Drosophila melanogaster: one gene and its partners. The protein of the gene in region 1 interacts with the protein of each later gene in a pairwise test. Each region holds a gene or a part of one and is shown in the gene's direction. Other genes may lie near its edges.

Region 1 (5,739 bases):
TCCCAAGCCGAAGACCCAGACCTTTCGTTGAGTTTCCCCGCAGCACTTGCAGCACATGGTGGATACGTAGGATTCCAAAGGTTCACGCTTTTAAGGAATAGCCAAGGTGGGAATAATCCAGCCCTAGGCAGTTAGTTGCATCTGGAAGTGAAGACAGTTTGTGGGGTTATTTTTCCTTGTATAATCAATGTCCATAATCCGTATCGAATTTTTATTAGTTTATTTCCCGGTACACCCATCCTGGCACCCTGCAGAGTTGGTAATTTTGAAAATAATAAGACCAAGGCTTATCGCCGGCTGGTCCCTGCTTAAGTATTCGATAAGCATCGGCGATTATAAGTGTATATTTTTGAATATATTTTGCAGTCCATGACAGTTGGAGAAGATTACGTGGGACAGCCCACTTATCCGCACAGTCAACTTCAAGTGCAGACATCCGCAGATCTATTCAGTTTTCTAGCACTTGCCACTGTTTAGGTCGCCTAAACTTACTAGTTTTCAATCAAAGGGGATCGAAAATATTCCGGCCTTAGCACAATCGGAACTATCAAAACCGTACGCGTCCCCTGGCAGGGCGAAACTGGTGGCCAGCGGTCTACTGTGTGTCTTTTAATGGGTTCACTTGACGTTCAATTACCACTCGGTTCGTTTATTAATCTCTGGACTTTGCTAGTCGGGAATATTTGCTTGATTGGCATTAACTTGGATGCGTTTGGAGAAACACAAAAAAGAGATCACTCTACTCGAATTCCTCGACTTTCAGTTACTCGTAACTCAGGTAGCTGGCTGCCACAAAATTTTAATATTTTGGTATTCAGAGTGGGTATGTTGCAAATATTTGTAGCATAGCGATAGAAATGAAAATCTTATCTTTCTAACATTTATAGTTCGCGAGATCAAAGCGTTCATGCGAAGGCGGATGGCTAGATCGACTCGGGTGGTTATTCTGATCGAGTGAGTAGGTTTTATGGCAGATTGATTTACAATAGTTAAAATTCCTTTTAATATTATAAACATTTATAATTATGGTAATTTCATGCCTAGATGTTATTTATGTCCATGCTTGTCTGCAATTCAAATTCATTCAAGTCTAAGATAGTGTTTAGTATCGTTATCTGGGTAATACCCGCATTTCTCGGCTATTTGCTTCTGTGGTTGGTTGGTCAAGATGTTCTCACAAGGGGTTCCTATTTATGGCACTGATAAGATTAGCTTTGTGGAGATACTGATAATTCGGTCGAAATATGCTTTACTATACCATATCAGCCTTGATCCGTCCTGTAATCCAAAGTTCTTTTAATGCAATAGGAACGGGGCCTGTTTTTATCGTAAGTCTGGTGCATATCGTATTGCAATTTCGATTCCCTGCTTTGTTTCCTCCCGTCGACTGACTCAGTCTTGTTTTTGTCGGATTATTGGGCTGGCTCTATACTACAATGAATATTTCTTTGTTTAACGACTGATAACAGGCAAAAAAGGGGGTCTGGAACTACAGTAGAGCCTTTTGAGCTTGTACGAGTCCCAGTAGGATAACTCGAGAATTCATGTTAACTGTTTAAGGCGAATTAATATTAATAATAATTGATTAATATTAAATGGTTTTTAAAATAGTTTGTTGTAAACTGCATTGTGTATGCACTATATATGTTTACTGCATGTTGTCTCTCTTTTGAGGGCGATAGCTTGCATCCCGTGAAATGTTTGCTTTCTGGTTGAACTTAAACCTCGATCAACTTGCGCTTAAAGTGTTGACATCACCAGTTGCGAATTAGGCGTACAGTTATATTCACGTATTATTGCACATTACCGGCTGCATAATTAAAGTGATGAATTACTCACCTTTTATCTCACACACAACTACGTCTTTTAGCATTAGCTTCTGATGGCTCTGTTATTGTTTTGCTTTGGCCTTGACATTTATTATGCCATAGTTCGGAGTAAATTTATTTTTCTGGGACTTCCCGCTTCGATGATCGCTTAGTCCCTTTACCTTTGGTGCCTGGAATCGCAAAAGTACCGTACGAAAGGGATTCAAATTGTCAGACTTCCCTTCTTATTACTTTTACAGCTAAACTCAAGCGTGGGAAGCGCCTTTGGAATTGATCTGAAAGCTGCTATCCAACTAAAAAAAAGGCACTTTCGCGTTGCCGAAGAGGGCAAGCAGAGAAAGATAAACTGCAAACTTGCAGTTTGCTGGGCTAAATTGGATTAAACAATTTATTTCTTTATCTTCGCTGGGCGAGTGTGACCAGAAGCGTTTATATGCGCTGTAACAGCACTGTAAGCAACGTTGCCACAGTTTTTGGATTGACTGTAATGCGAAACAGCTGTTCTGTTAGAGAAGTGGTGACAACCCTAACGACAGTGCCAACCAATCAGCGCAGACCACGACTCACACACACAAACAAAGCTGCCAGCGGCGACAACTACAATTTTTTTACACTTTTGCCAGCATTTAAAATCGTATTTCGAATCAGCTGGTTAAAAAGAATGAATTGCTGAATCAAACAGGATCAAAAACGAAATGCAGCTTATCAAGTGCTTGGTTATAATTCAGCTGTCCCTCTTGCTGGTGGAGGAGTCATTTGCCGGCCGGGACTTCTACAAAATACTGAACGTAAAGAAAAACGCCAACACGAACGAAGTGAAGAAGGCGTATCGCCGTTTGGCCAAGGAGCTGCATCCGGATAAGAACAAGGACGACCCGGATGCCTCCACAAAGTTCCAGGACCTGGGAGCGGCCTACGAAGTCCTCTCCAATCCGGACAAACGGAAGACCTACGACCGCTGCGGCGAGGAATGCCTCAAGAAGGAGGGCATGATGGATCACGGTGGTGATCCGTTCTCTAGCTTCTTTGGGGACTTCGGCTTTCACTTCGGTGGTGATGGCCAGCAGCAAGATGCTCCGCGAGGCGCCGATATCGTAATGGACTTGTACGTTTCCCTGGAGGAGCTATACTCCGGAAACTTTGTGGAAATTGTGAGGAACAAGCCTGTAACGAAACCCGCCTCAGGCACCAGGAAATGCAACTGCCGCCAGGAGATGGTCACCCGGAACCTTGGACCCGGGCGCTTCCAGATGATCCAACAGACGGTGTGCGACGAGTGTCCCAACGTGAAGCTAGTCAACGAGGAGCGCACATTGGAGATCGAGGTGGAACAGGGCATGGTCGACGGCCAAGAGACGAGGTTCGTGGCCGAGGGGGAGCCACATATCGATGGGGAGCCCGGCGACCTCATTGTGCGGGTTCAACAAATGCCGCATCCGCGATTCCTGCGCAAGAATGATGATCTGTACACGAACGTGACCATCAGTCTGCAGGATGCCCTTGTCGGCTTCTCCATGGAGATCAAGCACCTTGATGGACACCTGGTGCCCGTCACGAGAGAGAAGGTAACGTGGCCCGGCGCTAGAATCCGCAAGAAGGGCGAGGGCATGCCCAACTTTGAGAACAACAACCTCACCGGCAACCTGTACATCACCTTCGATGTGGAGTTCCCCAAGAAGGATCTTACGGAGGAGGACAAGGAAGGTTAGCATATACATTATCACAAGAGTAATTGTTTCATTAATAAACGTTTCTAATTCTAGCGCTCAAGAAAATACTCGACCAATCCTCCATCAATCGCATATACAATGGACTGTGAATACCCATGTTTCATCCCCAATAAAAGTGCTCGCCGGCTGTACTCTAGTTTTTAAATGCCTAACTAACAGGGCGACTTTGATTTGGGAACGCCCCTAATTCAAGAGATGACTTTGTTCAAAAAAGTTGTGCGAAAACAATTTAATTTTAGTTTAGAATTTTGTAAAATAGCAAAAGTGTAATGAGAGGGAACTATTAAGGCGGTTCCTGCCGACAAAAAGGAATTGCAACAAAAACCAACCCCCACAAAATAAAGCGGATTTAAATTATATACAACTTTGCGGAAGCTACTATTTTTGATTTACTGTTTTTAAAAGGGATTTTTTGATTGTCTCAGAAATAATTTAATTTGAAAACTATTATATTAAGACAATCGATAGGCTGCATTATTGCAACCTTGGCTCAGCTGTCGATAACTGGCGCAGGAATCCGCAAGAAGGGCGAGGGCATGCCCAACTTTGAGAACAACAACCTCACCGGCAACCTGTACATCACCTTCGATGTGGAGTTCCCCAAGAAGGATCTTACGGAGGAGGACAAGGAAGGTTAGCATATACATTATCACAAGAGTAATTGTTTCATTAATAAACGTTTCTAATTCTAGCGCTCAAGAAAATACTCGACCAATCCTCCATCAATCGCATATACAATGGACTGTGAATACCCATGTTTCATCCCCAATAAAAGTGCTCGCCGGCTGTACTCTAGTTTTTAAATGCCTAACTAACAGGGCGACTTTGATTTGGGAACGCCCCTAATTCAAGAGATGACTTTGTTCAAAAAAGTTGTGCGAAAACAATTTAATTTTAGTTTAGAATTTTGTAAAATAGCAAAAGTGTAATGAGAGGGAACTATTAAGGCGGTTCCTGCCGACAAAAAGGAATTGCAACAAAAACCAACCCCCACAAAATAAAGCGGATTTAAATTATATACAACTTTGCGGAAGCTACTATTTTTGATTTACTGTTTTTAAAAGGGATTTTTTGATTGTCTCAGAAATAATTTAATTTGAAAACTATTATATTAAGACAATCGATAGGCTGCATTATTGCAACCTTGGCTCAGCTGTCGATAACTGGCGCAGGACAACGTTCTAACGGGAGTAAAACCGAGAGCGAACAATCGGGAGAGCGTTACAGGAAGTAGCGAATTCACATTAGAGAGCGAAGAAATTTGTACCAGTGCGGACGTGGACAAGCTCGATCCAGCTTTATTATTTATTTTATCAGAAAGCAGAACCCACAACCGAAAAAACCAGTCATTGGCAAGGCTAAAAGATATTATTGCCTACCATCCTTTACTTCATACCTCGCATTGGAAAGTGAAGTTGAGTTGGAAAAGGAGAACTAGAAAAAGGATTTCTAGACCGAAAAAACAAGACACCAACAGCACAACGACCATAAATACATAGTATGAATGTCGCCTAAATATCATAATTTCGAGGTGAGTCGCGAGCAACTCCTCCGAGCAGTCTTTTCAGTTCCCGTCCCACGGATTTCGTGTTCCGCGAAGACGCAACTGCCCACCCCTTTCATTCAGTTTTTTCGCTATCGATTTTCTGCGAGGGTCTCCCTTCAACTTTAAGTGACCCAAAAAAGAAAGGGAGGGTGGTTTTAGGTCAGCCGGCAAAGTTGCGTGCTGGGCTACGTTGTATGTTCTGGTTTCATGCCAAATCTAGAGACCCAATTAAAACACTTTCAGATTGCACTGGTCTACTTTCTGCTGCTAATACCATGGCCACCCACGAATGTGATCAGAATCCTCTGCTCGCGAGATAACAGCCGACTGGTGCGCAAAATAGTGCGCTCCAAATGGACTCCCATTCTGGACAAGCATCAGGTAAGTCCACTACATCGGAGTTCCCTCGATTCAAACCTGCCTTACCGAGACAAATCAACTTAAAGGTGAAGCTGCCGCTGGAGTGCCCGCTCCATCCGTTCCGGGATGTCTTTGCCCCCCGCCAGGATGCCAAGCAGAGGGATCGACCTACTCAGTGGACGTGCAGGAAATGTGGCAAGAGCTTCTACCAGGAGAAGCATCTGGACTTACATTTCGACACACGCCACAAGAGCATCATCAATGAGGTAAAAAA
Region 2 (6,292 bases), on another chromosome or scaffold:
ACGGCGTATGTATTTGACTAAAACATTGGTTATTCTTTATTTACTCTATACTAATATATTAATATATTTATATTTATTTAGATTTATAATATAGTTCATAGTCCACGATATATATATCTTAACTTACATGTACCCAAAAACTGAAAAGCATATGAATAAATAATCGAGATAGTCGACTATTTTATTATTTTTTTATTATTTATTTATTTTTCTTTTAAGAATTCGTCCTGACAGCAGCGCACTGCGTATCCTTTGAAGATCTGTATGTGCGCTTGGGTGATTACGAAACACTAGATCCCATGCCATACTGCCTTAACAATCACTGTATACCAAAGTTCTACAACATTAGTGTGGATATGAAAATTGTTCACGAAAATTATAATGGCATCACTCTCCAGAATGATATAGCATTGCTTCGTATGTCCGAAGCTGTGGAGTACTCAGGTAAATAGAGGGGTTTTATCTCACGTGGATGACTAAAGCTTTATGTTTTTCGTTATAGATTATGTTAGGCCAATTTGCCTTCTTGTCGGCGAGCAAATGCAAAGCATTCCAATGTTTACGGTTACCGGCTGGGGTGAAACAGAATATGGTCAATTCAGTCGGATCCTACTGAATGCCACTCTATATAACATGGATATATCATACTGTAACATTAAGTTCAACAAACAGGCTGATCGATCGCAGATATGTGCTGGCAGTCATACCAGTAACACCTGTAAGGGCGATTCTGGAGGCCCATTGAGCTCGAAATTTCATTATGGCAACAGGCTTCTGAGTTTCCAGTACGGCTTGGTCAGCTACGGATCCGAAAGGTGCGCGGCTAATGTGGCAGGTGTTTACACCAATGTATCGTACCACAGGGAATGGATATTTAATAAAATGGTTCAATTCAAACCTACAGGTCATACTACCTTTTGGTTATCCAAGCTCGTAGGCCAAACTTGTAACATAACAGACATAATAAGGAATATAGAACTAATGTATAACAGAATTGTATATGAAAATTAATTAATATTCGACAAAATGGCAGGGCAACGCATCGAAGTTCGAAATATATTAAAGTTCAAGAGATTTAATTAAAAAAAAAAAATCTTGTCATTAATTGAAAATAAACGATGTCACATTCAAATCGATTGTAAAAATTGTATTAGTATTTTTTCTGAATAAATCACTTCTTATCTCTGCCGTTTGCCGAAGAACAAGCATAAAAATAGAAACCGATGCCATTCGAATTTAGTCTCTGAACAAGATGCGTCTACCTATACGGCAGCTTGTGATAGTAGCCTGTCTTTTTATTGGGATTATCCGGACGGAATCCGGACGCTTACTGGAAAACGACTGTGGAACCACGAGCAGTAATGGTTATAGAGCGCGAATCGATGGAGGTAGAGATGCTGGCATGGAATCGAATCCCTGGATGGTCAGAGTAATGATTTCGGGAAAAGCAGTGTGTGGCGGTTCACTTATAACTGCTCGTAAGTATTTGGAATTGATAATAAGAAATATATACTCAAATTATCATTGTATGTTCATTTAGGATTTGTTTTGACCGCCGAGCATTGCATTTCCCCAATGTATATGTGAGTGCATACCATACTATTACTACACATTTGATCCTCAAAATGACCTTTTTTAAGGAATGTGCGCCTGGGCGAATACGATACCCGACATCCCATATTCGACTGCGATGATTTTGTCTGCACACCAAGGGCCTACAATGTGGACGTGGATAGGAAAATTGTTCATAGTAATCCAGGATATGATATTGGTCTGTTGCGAATGCAAAGGAGTGTGATATTCTCAAGTAAGTGCATTTCGCTATCAAAAGTTTCTTGGGAACTAAATATGTAACTAACTAAAGTTCGCCATAGACTATGTCAGACCAATCTGCTTGATTCTGGGCAAAACGTTGGGTGGGAACCCACTCTCAATATTACGCTTCAATTTCACCGGATGGGGTACAAATAGTGATGGAGAAGAGCAAGATAGGCTACAGACTGCCACCCTGCAACAATTACCTCAATGGAGTTGTGAAAGACCTGGAAGACCTCTCGATATATCCTATATATGTGCCGGCAGTTATATCAGTGATTCGTGCAAAGGCGATTCGGGAGGTCCTTTGAGCGCAATTCGTACATTTGAGGGGCAGGGAAGGGTCTTCCAGTTCGGTGTCGCTAGCCAAGGACTTCGGTTGTGCAGTGGCTTGGGAATTTACACCAATGTCACACACTTTACGGACTGGATATTGGATGTTATTCAAAACCATTCAGACGACTTTGAATGAGATCAAAATATGTTGCTTAATAACAATATAATGTTTTAGCGTATATATTTTGGCTATCAATATCATAGTTTCTTGTTGGTTTTGGTTTTTTTTTTCAGATTGTAGGCTATTTCTACATTTAACATACATATTCCTTACATGAAACATACATTCGAGCAGAATGTATGGTACGGCCGCATCGATGCCGATAACGATAGGTAGCTTAACGCGTCCTACTATCGATGACAGTTTTGTTATTGTTATGATTTGATCAAGCTAAAAAAAAACCGATCAAATATAAATATATATTTATTGATTTCATTGCGCGATTTAAGCATAACCATTTGAAAATGAGCAAGTTCTCGCTCTTCAATGGCAACGATGAGGACGAGCACGAAACGGAGCAGAAATACGCACACCTTATGAGTGGGTAAGCAGCGTCCTCAGCCGGTTCGATGTTACCAAATCCTTACTTTTCGTAACAGATCTGGGAAATGCGAGTCACTCGGTGTCGGAAAATAGTTCTGGGAAAGCGAGTCGCTGCAAGTGGACCAGCGCAAAGGTGGAGACCTTTCTGGAAATCATTCACCAACTTAAACTGCAAGCTGCTCTTCGAAGGCCGCGAAGCAATGCAAAGGTGTTTCGTATGGTGTCCAGAGAAATGGCCCGGCGGAACTGCCCCAAGAGTCCAAAGCATCTGAGAGTCAAGTTCCATCAGATGCGGCGTCAGTATGCGAGAGCTCGGAATGGCGGCGAACCATTCGAGCACTTTGAGGCGGTGCACGAGTTGATGCAGGGAGAAGATGTATCTGATCTGGATGAAGAGGCGCTAGAGAGTGACAGCGATATGGAGGCCGACGAGGACCAGTCCGGCATGATCTCAGAAACCGAAGGGGACGGTAGGTGCCACCGGGCAGGAATGTATTGGAATACGAACTTAGGCGACTTTCCTTCGCAGATGCTTTGGATGCCTCAGGATCTTCAGTTAACATCGTCGCCCGCTGCAAGTGGGCAGAGGGCGAAGTGGACCTCCTCCTAGACCTGATCCACACACTTGGACTGCGAGCAGCTTTGCTGCAAAAGCGCAATGCCAAGGTCTTCAAGCTGCTGTCCAAGGAGATGGCAAAACGCAACTGCCACAAGGGTGCTGAGAAGCTGCGCATCAAGTTCCAGCAGCTGCGGCGATTGTACAACAAGGTCAAGAACGGCACGGGGAAAACGTTCGAGCATTTTGAGGCGATGCGACTGGTCCTGGATCCCACCGAAGAGGAGGCGGCCGCAGATGCTGAAGCGGAAGCCCATCTGAGCAGCGCAAGCGATAGTGATTTCAATGACAGTGACGAGGAAGAGGGTGATGCATCACAGAGAAGCGGAGGTAGATATTATAATAGCTAGTTCCTATTCCATATTTAATTAAATTCCTATGTTCCTTAGCGCACTTTTGGACAGACGAAGAGGTTGATTCGTTTCTACTCATCATTCGGGACAATGGTTTCTTTCGCGCCTTGGATGGCTCAAGGAAGCGCAACTTCCAGACCCTGGTGCACATTTCCAACATCCTGGCTAAGCAGGACATCAAACGCACGCCACACCAGCTGCGCAATAAACTAAGGCTGCTCTGCAAGCGTCATCGAGAGGCCAAGGAGCACGGGCTAGATAATGTACGCATTCTGCCTCGCCACTTTGAGCTTTTCGATGAACTGATTCAGGCGCCGCGGGAGAACAGAGAAAGTGCCATCAGCAGGCTCATTCGCATCAGCAAGCCTTCCTTTCTCAAGCCGCCAGGCAAACCAAGCGTTCCGCTGGAAAGTGACAGCGACAACTCCAGCTCCACCTGCGATCTCCTAAGAGCGGCAGCCGATAGCGAGGACTACGTGGACGCCATCGAGATGGAGGCTGAACCAACGCCGATTGAAGCACTCACTGCAATCATAGAAGGTCAAAAGCAGCTGCTTGCGCAGATCAAAACTACCAACGAAAGCTTCTTGCGGCAGCAACGCGAGCAGCAGCATCAATTTTTGGAACAAGTATCGGAACTGATGCATCGAGATCGAGAGGAGACCCTGCGCAGGATCAGCGAAATGCTGCAACCGAAGTAATGGAAACATAGAACTCAAGCTTCTAAAACTTTTATTGAATTGAATTCGAAGTTATTGCAAAAAGTTGTCATTATTTATATATATTATATGTATGTATTCTATATTCAATATCGTGTGTGTGTGTGTATCCTGTTTTTGTGACAGTGTCCTGTGTCTAGAATTTATTCCTCATTCATTGTGAACAGAATGTTGGTTTGAAGTTACTCGCAATTCGCAATTGTCTACGATTTATCTAGGGTTTTGTATAAGTATATACGTAATTTTGAGAGATTTTTCGTTTTTTATTTGATATGCTACATTGTTATTTTTTGGGATTAAGTTAACAGTTGGATTCGTTTTAGGTTTTAACATTAAGCGAAAATGCTCGTTAGTTTTTAGTTTTTGTTCTGCTTGTGTCATCTGTATACACATATGTATATATTTTGTATATTGTTCGGTTTACAACAACTAAGCAAGCTCGTCATAAAATATGTGTTGCACTCCAAAAAAAAAAACAATGTAATCAATTGGGCATAGAAAACTAAACTGCTGTTGCTGATCTGAACCGATCTGGCTTGATATATATACGTGTATGTTCGTTACGTTACGCTCAGGCACAAAGTGTAAATTACAAATATCTCTCCGCATCTCGAAAACCATAGGGAAACACAATCAATCAATCAACCAATCAATCAATCAATCAATCAATGGGTTCTCATTTGGTGGTTAATTATTGCATTCGCATTCATTTCCTAGCGGTGTGTGAGTTGCTTGTATTTCATAATATTTTTTATTCTTTGAGTTTCTGTGGCTTTGTGTCTCTTGGAGCACGGCTGAAAGCTTGGCTTGACTTGGCTGCTGCTGCTGCATTATTTTTTCTCAGTGTGTGGTAACAACAATAACAAGGTGTCTTTTGGAGATTATGTGGACTCTGCAGTAACAATCTAAGAGCTGACCGGCTCGGGCAGTGGGTTCTCTGTGATGCGTATCTTGTTGCTCTGGGTGCCGTAGTAAAGCGTGCCCGATGTGTCCGTGGTCACGTAGGCTCGGTTGCCATTACCGGTTCCTGTTCCGTTGCCGCCGGCACATCCGTTTCCGTTCTCCAGATCCTGGTCGTCCCCGTCGACGCTGCGACCATCCGCATTATTATTGTCCCCCTGGCCGGCGGTGGTGTTGGAGTTGCTGCTGGTGCAATTGATGGCCGTCTCCCGAAGGCGATTGCCAACGCGAAGGCTCAGCTGCCGCTGGCGATCCCGCTCCCTTTCCCGCTCACGATCGCGCTCCTCCATCGCCTGCTGCTGCTGCTCCCGGAAGTTGGCAAAGAAGATGGAGGAGTAGGTGTGGTATTTAGTTCCACAGGGCGAACTCGCTGGCGTGGACAGCGGCGTTGCTGTTGCAGTTTTATAAGTGGAGTTGTTGTTGTTTTGGGGGGAAGGTAGTAGTAGTTTGGCTTTTGTTATTTACGTTATGTCACTTGATAACATGTAAGTTGTTGGTTCTTGTTCTTGATGGGTGTTTTTCTTTATACACTTTCTAAAAGGCTTGCCTGCTGTTTTTGAAATGTATGTACGTGTGGTGATGTCTGTACGTTTGCAAAAGGCTGCGATTAAAATAAATAAAATTCTTAGATTTGCTTGACTCTCTTAACTCTTAAAATTCGAATGGAAGTTAAGGCTTTATGTCCATTGTAAAGATAACTATGTAGTATTCAATAATCTCATCATTGATTATGGTTACAATTTACATCGTTTAATTCAGTCTTTATATTGTTTAATAAGGCTAAGTTCACTTGAAACTATCTTTAGTTAGCTGAAGCTATAAAAACAGCTTACAACACATGAATCTAAATAATTTACCTCTATCCTTATTTTAATCGCAGCTGCAAGTGTATCTGTATCTGTATCTGAATGTAATGTGTATGGTGTGCATTTTGCATGATTCGAGATGA
Region 3 (5,267 bases), on another chromosome or scaffold:
ACGTTTTTTATAATTAATATTTTTTTACTGTCACCTTTTCTAAACCTTTTGTTCTGGCAGCGTCTGTTCTGCCCACTTAAAATGCGGAAATGTAGCCCGAAAAAATACCAATTCAGTTGCGTCATCATCCATTGACAAATCACAGATGGCAAAAGTGATAGATTTCTCGAAATGTATAGGTAACCGGCATCTCTGGTAGGAGAATCACGTGTTGGCCATTTAAAAATTGCCGACTGAAAGTTGCGTCAACCCGAATAAATAATTATGCATGTGCGTGTCTAAAAATATATTTCTGGCTTAAAGCGGGCAATAACGAGTAAAATAGCAACCATAACAGGGAAAGGATTCAACAGGAGGGACAACAGTGTCCTTTGACCACCTTATGGCCAGTGGGAGGACGCTCCCCTAGGCAGCCACTATGTGGACGGGAATGGAGTTGCTGTAGCGTCCGAATGGCAGCCACGCAGCTGGGTAGAACAAAGGATAGCTCGGCGGCGGTGCAGAGCCCACAAGTGGTGGTGGCCCCAGTGGTGGTGGGGGAACAGCAGCTCCAGCTGCCTGGCGGGGCGGTGGTGGAGCAGCCCGATGGGCAGGCGGCACATCGATCTCCTCGGCAGCATCCTGGATCTGACCCGCGGCCGCCAGGTGGATCAGAAGGAGGAGCACCACCTGAAATGGCCACCGATGGCGAGGCCTCATCATCTTTGAGCAAGTGCATCGACTTCTCGGCGGATAACCGCTTGAGACTTACTAATTTCCTGTACATAGCTAATCCGAGCTGATAAGATCTGATAGCTCAACGTTCTGAAAACGAAATAAACATGACTGGAGCGACAGAACCCAGCTTTATAAATTTCTGAACCCAACCCGGCAGTTTTTGTGGGTCATTTCCAGACTTGCCGATGGATGGATCAATATCCAGCTACGTTTTAGTATGCAAAACACGGACTCACATTCGATTTGTTTTTCGCTTTTCGTCACGCTTTTAAAAATACCAAACGAAACCAAAAGTGCAAAGCCATAATGCTCAAGATTCTCCTTGGCTGGCTTCAAAATGGACTTGGAACCGATCTGGGAATGGATGTGCATACCAATGGCCACGCATCACCTTCGCTTCAATGTGGGGAATTGGAATGGAATTTTCTCGACCGATTCTGCTATATATACCCGAGTACTCGGGCACTAGGAGATATCAGTCTAGTACTTGAGAACCAACAGTTCACAACCAACCCAAACAGCCAACATGTTCAAATACGTAAGGATCGCAGGATAGCTGGACTTGCCACCAAACAACGGATTACTCATAAGCACTTTTCCTATCCTTTCAGTTCGCTCTGTGCCTGTTCGCCATCGTGGCCTGCGTCTCTGCCAAGCCGGCGGTGCTCGCTTCTCCTCTGGCCTACAGCGCCTACTCCGCTCCCTATGTGGCAGCTGCTCCTTACTCGGCTGCCTACACCGCGGCATACACCGCTCCAGTGGCCGCCGCCTACTCCGCCTACACGTACCCCTATGCGTCCGCCTACTCCGCCTACCCCTATGCCGCCTACTACCGTTAAGACTGGATGAATGGATCGTGATCTTAACCTGACTGCTGAACTGGACCTGAATATAAACATATACACATCTATTGCAACAAGGATACACACCTTCCTGCTAACCACCTGCAACATCCAATCTTCTTACATCCCTGGTGTTAGTTCGACAGACTCTACATTTCCCCACCTCTGCCGACTGCTGAAAGTTAAGTCATGGGAACAGGACATACCACTTCAAGAAAGGGAATATTTTTGTTGAAATAAATACTGCATTTTGCGTAAAACGTATACCACTTGTTCATAATTTATTGCATCACTTATTCATCTCTAATGTGAAGGGAGTATGTATAATCACATACTTTTAGGCAGTACTCTTTTGCAATGGGTACTAAGTACTAAATTTGGTATACATTAAAATCCAATGGAAATATTATTTATAAAGTAGGTGATATCATATTTTCAGTAAATATTTCTCACACTAGTTTCATAAATTGCTAGCCCCTACATTTTTTAATTTTGGTGGGCTGGAAGGAATCAATGACTTTTTTAAGCTTTGTATCAATAAATTGCTTTGATACATTGGAAATTATTTTTTGGACTTAAAACCTATTATTTGTTAAAAAAAAAGGAAGTGTAAAGGAGGTTGTGTTCTTCGTGGTGGAATGTCCATGTTTGCATTGGATTAATAGGGTCAACGAGACCTCCGGTTTATTGAACTCGCGATTCCATTTATGCAAAGCTTTCGATTCCCTGTTTCTGGTGTCCTCAACCTTAAGCCAAGGGCTCAACTCGATGACGTCCTTCGAAACTGGATAAACCGCTTCTATTTTTACTTGCATCTCTGATTAGAATGCAAAGTGGCGTGTTCGAGTGGCTGACAATTGAAACGTACAGAGTGAGCCGAACTCCGGAGATGGCCAAGACGGTTGGAATGACACGCACGTTCACAGCCCACAAAACGCACTGAGTGCTAAATTATGATAATTCAATCGGCAAACGACAGCTGCTGACGCCAGTTGCGGAAATGCTCAAGATGAGCGGGAAAAAACATTCATTTTCAATAATAAATTCACAAGGAATGCGTACTATTCGCAGGCATATCGACAAACACAAATCTGCAACATTATAATTGTGCCAGTAAAAAGAGACCAAATGTTTGGCCCTGTTTTAGCCCTGGTACGTGATGGAAATGCTTTAAACTTGCTGGGTTTTTGCTTTTTCAATGGGCTTTGTCAAGGATGCTATGTATATTTACCTATATAAACCACTTCGAACTCAGCACAAGACATCAATCAGAAGTCTAACTTCGACGCTAACACAACCAAATCAATTAAAATGATGAAATTCGTAAGTTTCCAACATTTTTTTAAGGATACAATGTTTCAAAAATGCAACAATTCACAATCCTAAATACAAACAAAAACGCGTGTGTTCGAAATAAAACTATTATCAAACAGTGTAGATTTTTCAAACAATTTTTTATATTTATAAAACTTCTTGTAAATGTGTATTTTAATGTACTTTTTGTATGCATTTTATCCTGCAGTTTGCCGTTGTCCTGTGCGCCCTGTTCGCCGCCGCTGCTGCCAATCCTGGTCTGCTGGCCTACAATGCCCCTCTGGCCTACTCCACTCCACTGGCGTACAGCTCCCTGCCCGCTGCCGCACCCCTCGCCTACACCGCCGCCTACACCCCTGCCTACGCCCCCTACGTGGCCCCCTATGCCAGTAGCTACAGTGCCCACAGTGTGGCCCACAGCGCCGCCCTGCCAGCCGTTTATGCCGCCGCCCCTGTGGCCACCATCCTCAAGAAGTAAGATGTCCCAGGATGGCAAAGGGATTCCGCAAGGCTGCCGCACGTGTCCACCGGACGTCGTCACTGCCACGGCGAAAGATACAGATACAAACAGAGATGGAGATACATGCTCGCAGGCAAACAGAAATTAAAACGCAATGCATCAGGCCCACGCACTGACCGACTGAGAAGTGAATCGAGTTTTATTCCTTCCGTTTAATTTTAATCTTGCCGTGGGCATCGGGACTTTTCTTCAAAGGAAACAGATAGTGCAGGTTGCTCTTGGGAAGCGCCGTCTTATTGCAATAGATACCTGGATGGGAAGTATATATATATAGCTTTAGTTTGTGGTATTACATAGAATTATAAGTTCAAGATAAGGGATTTCATTTGAATTATTAACGAGTGCTGCAAGCTTTAATTTTTAACATTTGCAATGGTCACCAGAGCACTTTAAACTATTATATGATGAGAAGAATGAATTCGTTTAAGGTTAAATCAGGCCACCATTTTCATTAGACAGCTCCCATATGACAGAGTGCCCTCCAAGGGTGTGCCCAACTCTGGCCTGTTTGTGCGCCCACTTTGGTTCATCGACACTTCGCCACGTTCCAGGACGCAATCCTTGAGCTTTGTTTACGCAGTTCGCACCCCCTTAGCCCTGATACCCCCCTGACCCTTCGAGGTCTATGTGGCCAGCTCGCGGCACATTGTTTATCACTTTGATTGCAAGTTGCGTGTGTGTTGGCTTAGAGGTCAATGCATTTCCATCGCCACTGCGAATATGGTACTACATTGAGGGGCGCCGCTTAAATTGCATTTTGCTAATCACCCGCCATCGATAAGTTGAACGAAGCCACGCCTCAAACGAACCCACCACGCCAACTCTGGCATTAATCATACGCCGCGTGCAACCGTCGAAAAGTATGAAAATCAAATCAAGCGAACGACATTTAACTAAGAAACAACATTTTGCAAATTAATTCAAGTCTTTGAGTTGCTGATTCTCAATTCTCCTCGATGCTTTCAACGCTTTTTATAGCCCTGTAAAAGCTGAAAAACGCCTCATTCTGCACGTGCAGTTGCACTTCTTGCAGCTAATTTACTTGTTTTGTGGCTGTAGTCGGAAAATTAAATTAAAATTTAACGCTGCCTTTTGTCTCGATGGTCACGCCCCATTAATCAGCTGCCCCCTCGCGAAACATGCGGCGATTTATAATTGCCGAAGCCCCAGAAGTTGCACTTAAACGTTCCGTTTCCCAGGCTTTACTGGAGTGGGTACTCTATGAAAGAGTTTGGGGGTGGGGTGTGTAAGCTTAAATTAACATAAGTTAAATATTGTCAAATAGTCTAATTTAATGCTTAAATGTTGTACTTTAGGTAAGTGTGTTTATAAAATTAGTTTCAAATGCTCTCTTGTCGTAGTATTCAGTTAAGGTAAGTCTATACCGTGTCTGAATTGAGGATATCAAAATATTTGTTTTCTAACTTTATAAGTAAGTATAAATATATATGGTTTTTGGATGCAACTCAGTTCTTAATGTATAGCTGTATCGTATCTCTATGTAATCTAGCTAATACTGGACGCTCTTTTCAAATTGAATATGATATCCAACCTACCTCCAATTAGCAGTACGCGTATTAACTTGGCCAACAAGGGGACTTCTAGGCCCATGTGCTATAATTACCCCCCGCTGTTCGGTGACTGCTTAGGCGATTACAACAATCTTGTCTAATTGACAGTTGTACACTGTCATTCGAGAGCATTGGAACGATAATGGGGGGGCTGCGTCGATTAGAACTTGCTGCGATCAATTTGCGGAGACATCAATAAGAAGCCAAACCCGATTTAAAGGCGCTCGCATTTCAGCCGTGCTGCCCAATAAATTGCGTTTTGATTTAATCGCCGTGTTGCACAAGTGCCACAAAATTAATTGC
Region 4 (5,256 bases), on another chromosome or scaffold:
CTTTAAACTGCATTTACCCCAAGAACTGGAACCCAAAGAAAAGTGAAGTGAAATGGCGCCCAATGTGAGAGCAATATCTAGTGTGTGAAGAGCTATCAAGGTTTAACCCTATCAAATCACTTTCAGTTGACTTGTGTATGGATTACTCTGCTGCAACTCATGAGCTTGGCTCTGGCCGATGTCTCACACCTGGATTACTCGATAGCACCCAGCACCCAGCTGGGTTACTATCACTATCCCGCTCCCAACAGGCCAGCCGTGCAGCGGAGCCAGAGGAACCAGTACCAACAGAACCAGCAGTATCCCCAAGTGGCACGACAGTTTGCCGAGCCCGCCTTGGAGCATGCCGCCTTCACCCAGGCTCTGACCAGCCAGGGTTACGTATTTGGAGCACCGTCGTCTGCCCTCCAGGTGGCTCCCCCGGCACCACAGCCCCAGCAGGTGGCCAGAGTATCATCTGCTGCGGGATCGGCCACAGGTCGTTCCATATCCTCCGCTTCCGTGGATGCCAACTCGCTGAATCTCAAGCTGCCAGTGCCCTTTGGCATTGCTCCACTGAATGTGGCGCAACTTCCGCTGCAGGCTGGGGCACCATATGCCAGTGTGCCCAGAACCACGGGGCTAACCTCCTATGGAACACCGCAGATCCAGAGGCGCTAGTCCAGCAATCCTAGCCCATAGAATAGCAATAGCAATACATTTAATAGAGCCAGAGCCATCCCGACTGATCATCAAACTGCGATGACTTCTGCTCTTAGTGAATACACATTGATAATAAACTTGCCATCTAAGCTTAGCCTTTCGGTTGAGTCTCTTTTTATTGGCCATTTTTAGTCTCATTGCCATCGATGGAGACTGCATTTGCATAATGTTTTGAAGGTTAATACGCGGGCACACACAAAAAAAAAAGAGGTCTTCGTCCATTGGATTTACACCTTTCACTCTCCTACGATGGGTTAATGGTTGCTATTTACATACACACAAATCGGGCCAAGAGATCTCCATCTCCATCCGCGCCTCATAATGAGACCTCAAACTTGGCATTGGCATTCGGAATTCTCTTGTGAAAACAAAAGAAATCGAGACAACGACTAACTTTTGACGTATATTTATGAAAGCCAATTAAAGTCAAGTGTCATTGATCAGATCTGGGAACGGAACTGGGAACTGGGATCTGGATCTATCTATATATCTAGACATATTTATGCCTGCCGTATAGAACCTGCTTCCCGCGAAAACAAAAACGGGAATTAGAAATATGGTCTGCATAAATTTGGGGCTTAAAAATCAATTAAAGCAAACGGTACTGACGACAGCCAAACAATTCCTAAGAGGGATAAAGCTTCTGATGAGCCTCTAAATCAGATTGCAAATAAATTTAAAAGGTTAACTAGGAAGTGAGCGGATCGCACAGCTGTGAAGTGGAGTGCTGAAGACAAGAAGTTGATGGCGATGGTCTATGAAGATGAAGATGAAGATGGTTAAAGATGTACTCATTTCCGTGCTTGAGTCACCGGAAAATTGGCGCGTCATCGGTTGAGAATTCCTGTCCAGAAATTGTGAACAAGTGAACGAGAAGAGGTCACCCTTGGAGTTGGAATGTACTAGCTGTGGTTGCTGCCAAGATTGGATCAATCCGATCAAAAGTGGCCACAATGCGGATACAGAATACAGAATATATGGAAAAGTATACAGTTACATGCGTGGGGCAACTTGATCACCAGATATCATTTATATACATATATATATATCGCCCTCTCGACTCGTCATCGCGACAACCTTGAGACCGGCGTCATCATCGTATCGGATTTCAGAAGCAGCTATAAAATAACGACCATTTAGATACTCTATACGATTTGTTAGTAAGCGGTATGAGTATAATATTTTGTGACTGTACTACAGAAAAACTTCGATTTTTCATAAACTCGCTCTTTGAAATCATGCTCCTAATGGGTTGTTCTACCAAGTCATTGACACTAAAATATGCTAATTTACAAACATTCATAAGTAGCAAAAGTACCCGATCATAAAGAGTAAAACAATGCAAATCGCAGACACCAAGCCATCAGATGACGACGATGCTGCTGACCAGGCCAGCACGTGACCGAGAGAGACCGAGAGAGATGGCTCATTAAGTCAGCTAGCAAGCAGGTTTCGACTGCTCGATCATTCGGCCCCGCGCCTTGTTGGCCAATTAAGCTGAAGCGAATTGATGAGACCCACTGGATGAGGATGAGGGTGCATCACATCCTGTGGCCAGGTGGCGTCAAGGTCAGGTCAACACGAAAACAAATGAAGACCCGTCGGCTAGGATGAGAGGGAAATTTACGACCGCCTTTTATTGGCGTCTCTGCAAGCCATTAAAAAGTGAACTAATGAGACACTTAGTGGGCCGGAATCGTGGCCTTTGAGGAAGGGGTACCATTTTTATGGCCAATTTGACTTAGATTGCGGCCAATTCAATGCGAAGCGGCGCACATTGATGGCCCAAACAGACTGCAAATTACGACAAGACAGCCCGGCCACCGAGTCAGTCTTCAATTGCATACAAATGTCGATCACTGCACTTGGAAAAATTTTTATAAAGACTATAACTTGGTATGCTATACAAAAAGTTTACCTCTGCATGTAAATACACTGCACTAAATAGTTAAGGTTAAAAATTTTAAATAAAATATTTATACATTGAAATCAGAATTATATCATATCTTTTCTTATAATATTTACCAAAGCTCAAATATTTTTCCAAGTGCAACCGAAATATTCAAGCGACAACTTGGACAACTTCCGACAGTCCATTGGGCAATTGAAGGCGGAGCACGTCTTGGCCAAATGGCGATCATGTATGCTACTTGGCACTCGACCAGGTGGGCCAGCTAATGAAGAAGCGACCAAAAATCGGCTCAGACAGAATGTCCCCCAAAGAGCACGGATATGGGCACGAGCTATATAAGCCACTGGTCTGGCTCCAAATGAACATTATCGCTCAAGTGCTTTAGACAAACCCAACCACAGCAATATGTACAAGTTTGTAAGTGATCCTATGGGGATTAGCGCCCAAACAATGTGGACTAAGAGGTGGTTAATGATTACCTATCCTATTTTCCAGTTGGTTCTCGCTGCCCTCATCGCCTGCTCTGCGGCCAAACCAGGAGTTGTAGCTCCACTGGCTGCTCCTCTGGCTGCTCCCCTGGCCTACGCTAATGCTCCTCTGTACGCCGCAGGTGGCAGCAGCCAGGTGGATGTCCGCAACAACTACGACGGCACCCTGTCCTCCTACACCACCGCTCCGTTCGAGTTCGCCGGCCCCTACTCCAGCCGCTATGTGTCCGGAATCCCAGCTGCCCCCGCCGTGGTGGCCAAGTACGCTGCTGCTCCTCTGGCCGCCGCCTACTCTGCTCCTCTGGCTGCTCCCGTCGCTGCTCCTCTGGCCGCTGCTCCCGTTGCTGCTCCTCTGGCCGCTGCTCCCTATGCCGCCGCTGCCTACTCCGCCTATCCCTATGCCTCGCCCTACGCTGCACCCTACCTGGCATCTCCCTACGCCGCTCCCTACGCTGCATCCTATGCTGCTCCCATCGCCGCTGCTGCTCCAGCTCCAGTGGTGGTCTAAGGACACACCTGTGAAGCAGGCCAAACTATAGGAAATTTTTGATAAACAAAAAAAAAAACTGATAATAAATTACGAACCAACAATTAGAGCGCACCATCTTATTATTTGCAGAAATGCCTTGAATAATTAACGAAAAACGAAAGTACTATTATTTATCGGATATTTTTGGTTCATGAAAATTCAATTGGACGCTCATTTCGATTGGGTCAATATATATATATTTCTTAAGAAAATATAAAATAACTTCTTTACTTAACTATGATCAATTTTTGATTAGATGATTCCTTTTGTGCAAGTGGTTTTATTAAGCATCCATATATTTCCAGATTTCAGATAGAGGAAGTTATTTAATTTTTTTTTAGAAACTTTAGAACTTTCCATTTAATGCTCTGAATTTCTCGTTTCTCACTCATTTCTTTGATATGCAAAATAAGCTTGTTTATTGGTGGATATCATTTAATACAAATTATGCATAAATTATAGGTCTGCATTTAATTTTTAATGGAATTTTTTCTAACAGCTGCATTGAATTTTAAAGATAATATTGACAAAGTAGCAACATACATAAGTTAGGGACTTAGGGAAGTTAAAGTCAGACAACTTGGTCACCATGTAAACAATATTTGTTGTGATTGCGTTGTCACCTAAGGCGCAATATCGATTGTTATTTATGGTCAAAGCAATATTTATGGATTATCATAATCATATTCCACTCATGGGCAACTGTCAATGCCTGGGCTTGGTTGGCCCCATGTTATATAATCATGGGCCGTGCTTTCGAATCGCCCAAGAAGTTATTGGCCCCTCGATCGAAGGCAGTGCCATTCGCAGTCGCCGTCTCAGTCACGACTTGCTGACCAACTAAATGGGATTGGGTTGCCTCCCTCCAAATGATGCAACCCATTAAGTTAGGTGAGTGGGCCAAGTCGTCGTCGAAAGTGAAGAAATGCAAGTGCAAGTCTTTTGATTGCGTACCGCCTTCAATTCGCTATAAATATTAATTTAATTTGACAATGCAAAGACATTAGCAGCCGAACCAACAGGTCGAGCACATCGATCGAGAAGCTACTGCCCCAAAGAAACCGAACTTCAAATCCCCCAAGCAAGATGTGGCAACTGACATGGGTAAGGACTGCAAAGTTCTTTTGACCAAAGATATTAATAGGTAACCTAAATATTTTTAGGCCTTTGCATTGGCTTTCCTGCTGGTGGGTGGTGAGGCAAAGCCCTCTCATCTTCACTACAATCACTTCGATCCCCACCATGTCAACCACTTTGACGGACATCATCTGAGCCACTTGGATTCTCTGCATGCTCTGCCGCACCACTTGGATTACGCGGTGCAGGAATCGGTCCTTCCTCCGCCAGCTCCTTTGCTTCCTGCGGTGGCTCCACCACCAGCATTTGCTCCACCACAACCTGTATTTGCTCCAGCGCCTCTCTTACCTGCTCTTGCACCATTTTTACCGGCTCCTGCTCCTCTTCTGCCCGCTCCTGCACCACTTCTACCAGCACCTGCACCACTTCTACCAGCTCCAGCTTTTCTGCCAGCTCCTACTCCTCTTTTGCCCGAGTTCCATGTGCCCAGTGTCACCCATCAAGTGCTGCCGCCCGTCCTGGAGGCGGTGCCCTTTGCACCCACCTAC

The links.
Region 2: the proteins of shv (region 1) and CG10494 interact in a two-hybrid assay, tested with the Drosophila melanogaster proteins (one large-scale study listed by BioGRID).
Region 3: the proteins of shv (region 1) and CG13066 interact in a two-hybrid assay, tested with the Drosophila melanogaster proteins (one large-scale study listed by BioGRID).
Region 4: the proteins of shv (region 1) and CG13047 interact in a two-hybrid assay, tested with the Drosophila melanogaster proteins (one large-scale study listed by BioGRID).

What each region holds. Positions count from the first base shown.
Region 1 is NT_033779.5:450,738-456,476, forward strand, and holds shv (shriveled), read left to right. Parts: upstream 1-2,370; 5' UTR 2,371-2,524; coding exon 2,525-3,533; intron 3,534-3,592; coding exon 3,593-3,648; 3' UTR 3,649-3,917; downstream 3,918-5,739. Other genes in the region: crq (croquemort), read right to left, coding at 1-57; CG4133 (uncharacterized protein), read left to right, coding at 5,064-5,090, 5,349-5,486, 5,552-5,731. UniProt on the Drosophila melanogaster protein: Maintains stem cell niche architecture in the testes.
Region 2 is NT_033778.4:21,515,330-21,521,621, reverse strand, and holds CG10494 (uncharacterized protein), read left to right. Parts: upstream 1-2,496; 5' UTR 2,497-2,616; coding exon 2,617-2,692; exon of another isoform or gene 2,693-2,696; intron 2,697-2,751; coding exon 2,752-3,165; intron 3,166-3,224; coding exon 3,225-3,641; intron 3,642-3,700; coding exon 3,701-4,365; 3' UTR 4,366-4,467; downstream 4,468-6,292. Other genes in the region: CG30289 (uncharacterized protein), read left to right, coding at 1-5, 220-444, 503-1,011; CG30288 (uncharacterized protein), read left to right, coding at 1,253-1,478, 1,541-1,583, 1,641-1,807, 1,875-2,287; MESK2 (misexpression suppressor of KSR 2), read right to left, coding at 5,289-5,734.
Region 3 is NT_037436.4:16,270,097-16,275,363, forward strand, and holds CG13066 (uncharacterized protein), read left to right. Parts: upstream 1-2,812; 5' UTR 2,813-2,870; coding exon 2,871-2,882; intron 2,883-3,081; coding exon 3,082-3,351; 3' UTR 3,352-3,512; downstream 3,513-5,267. Other genes in the region: CG34248 (uncharacterized protein), read right to left, coding at 406-702; CG13067 (uncharacterized protein), read left to right, coding at 1,244-1,255, 1,329-1,556.
Region 4 is NT_037436.4:16,283,119-16,288,374, reverse strand, and holds CG13047 (uncharacterized protein), read left to right. Parts: upstream 1-2,978; 5' UTR 2,979-3,019; coding exon 3,020-3,031; intron 3,032-3,109; coding exon 3,110-3,610; 3' UTR 3,611-3,695; downstream 3,696-5,256. Other genes in the region: CG13046 (uncharacterized protein), read left to right, coding at 53-64, 127-660; CG13048 (uncharacterized protein), read left to right, coding at 4,718-4,735, 4,795-5,256.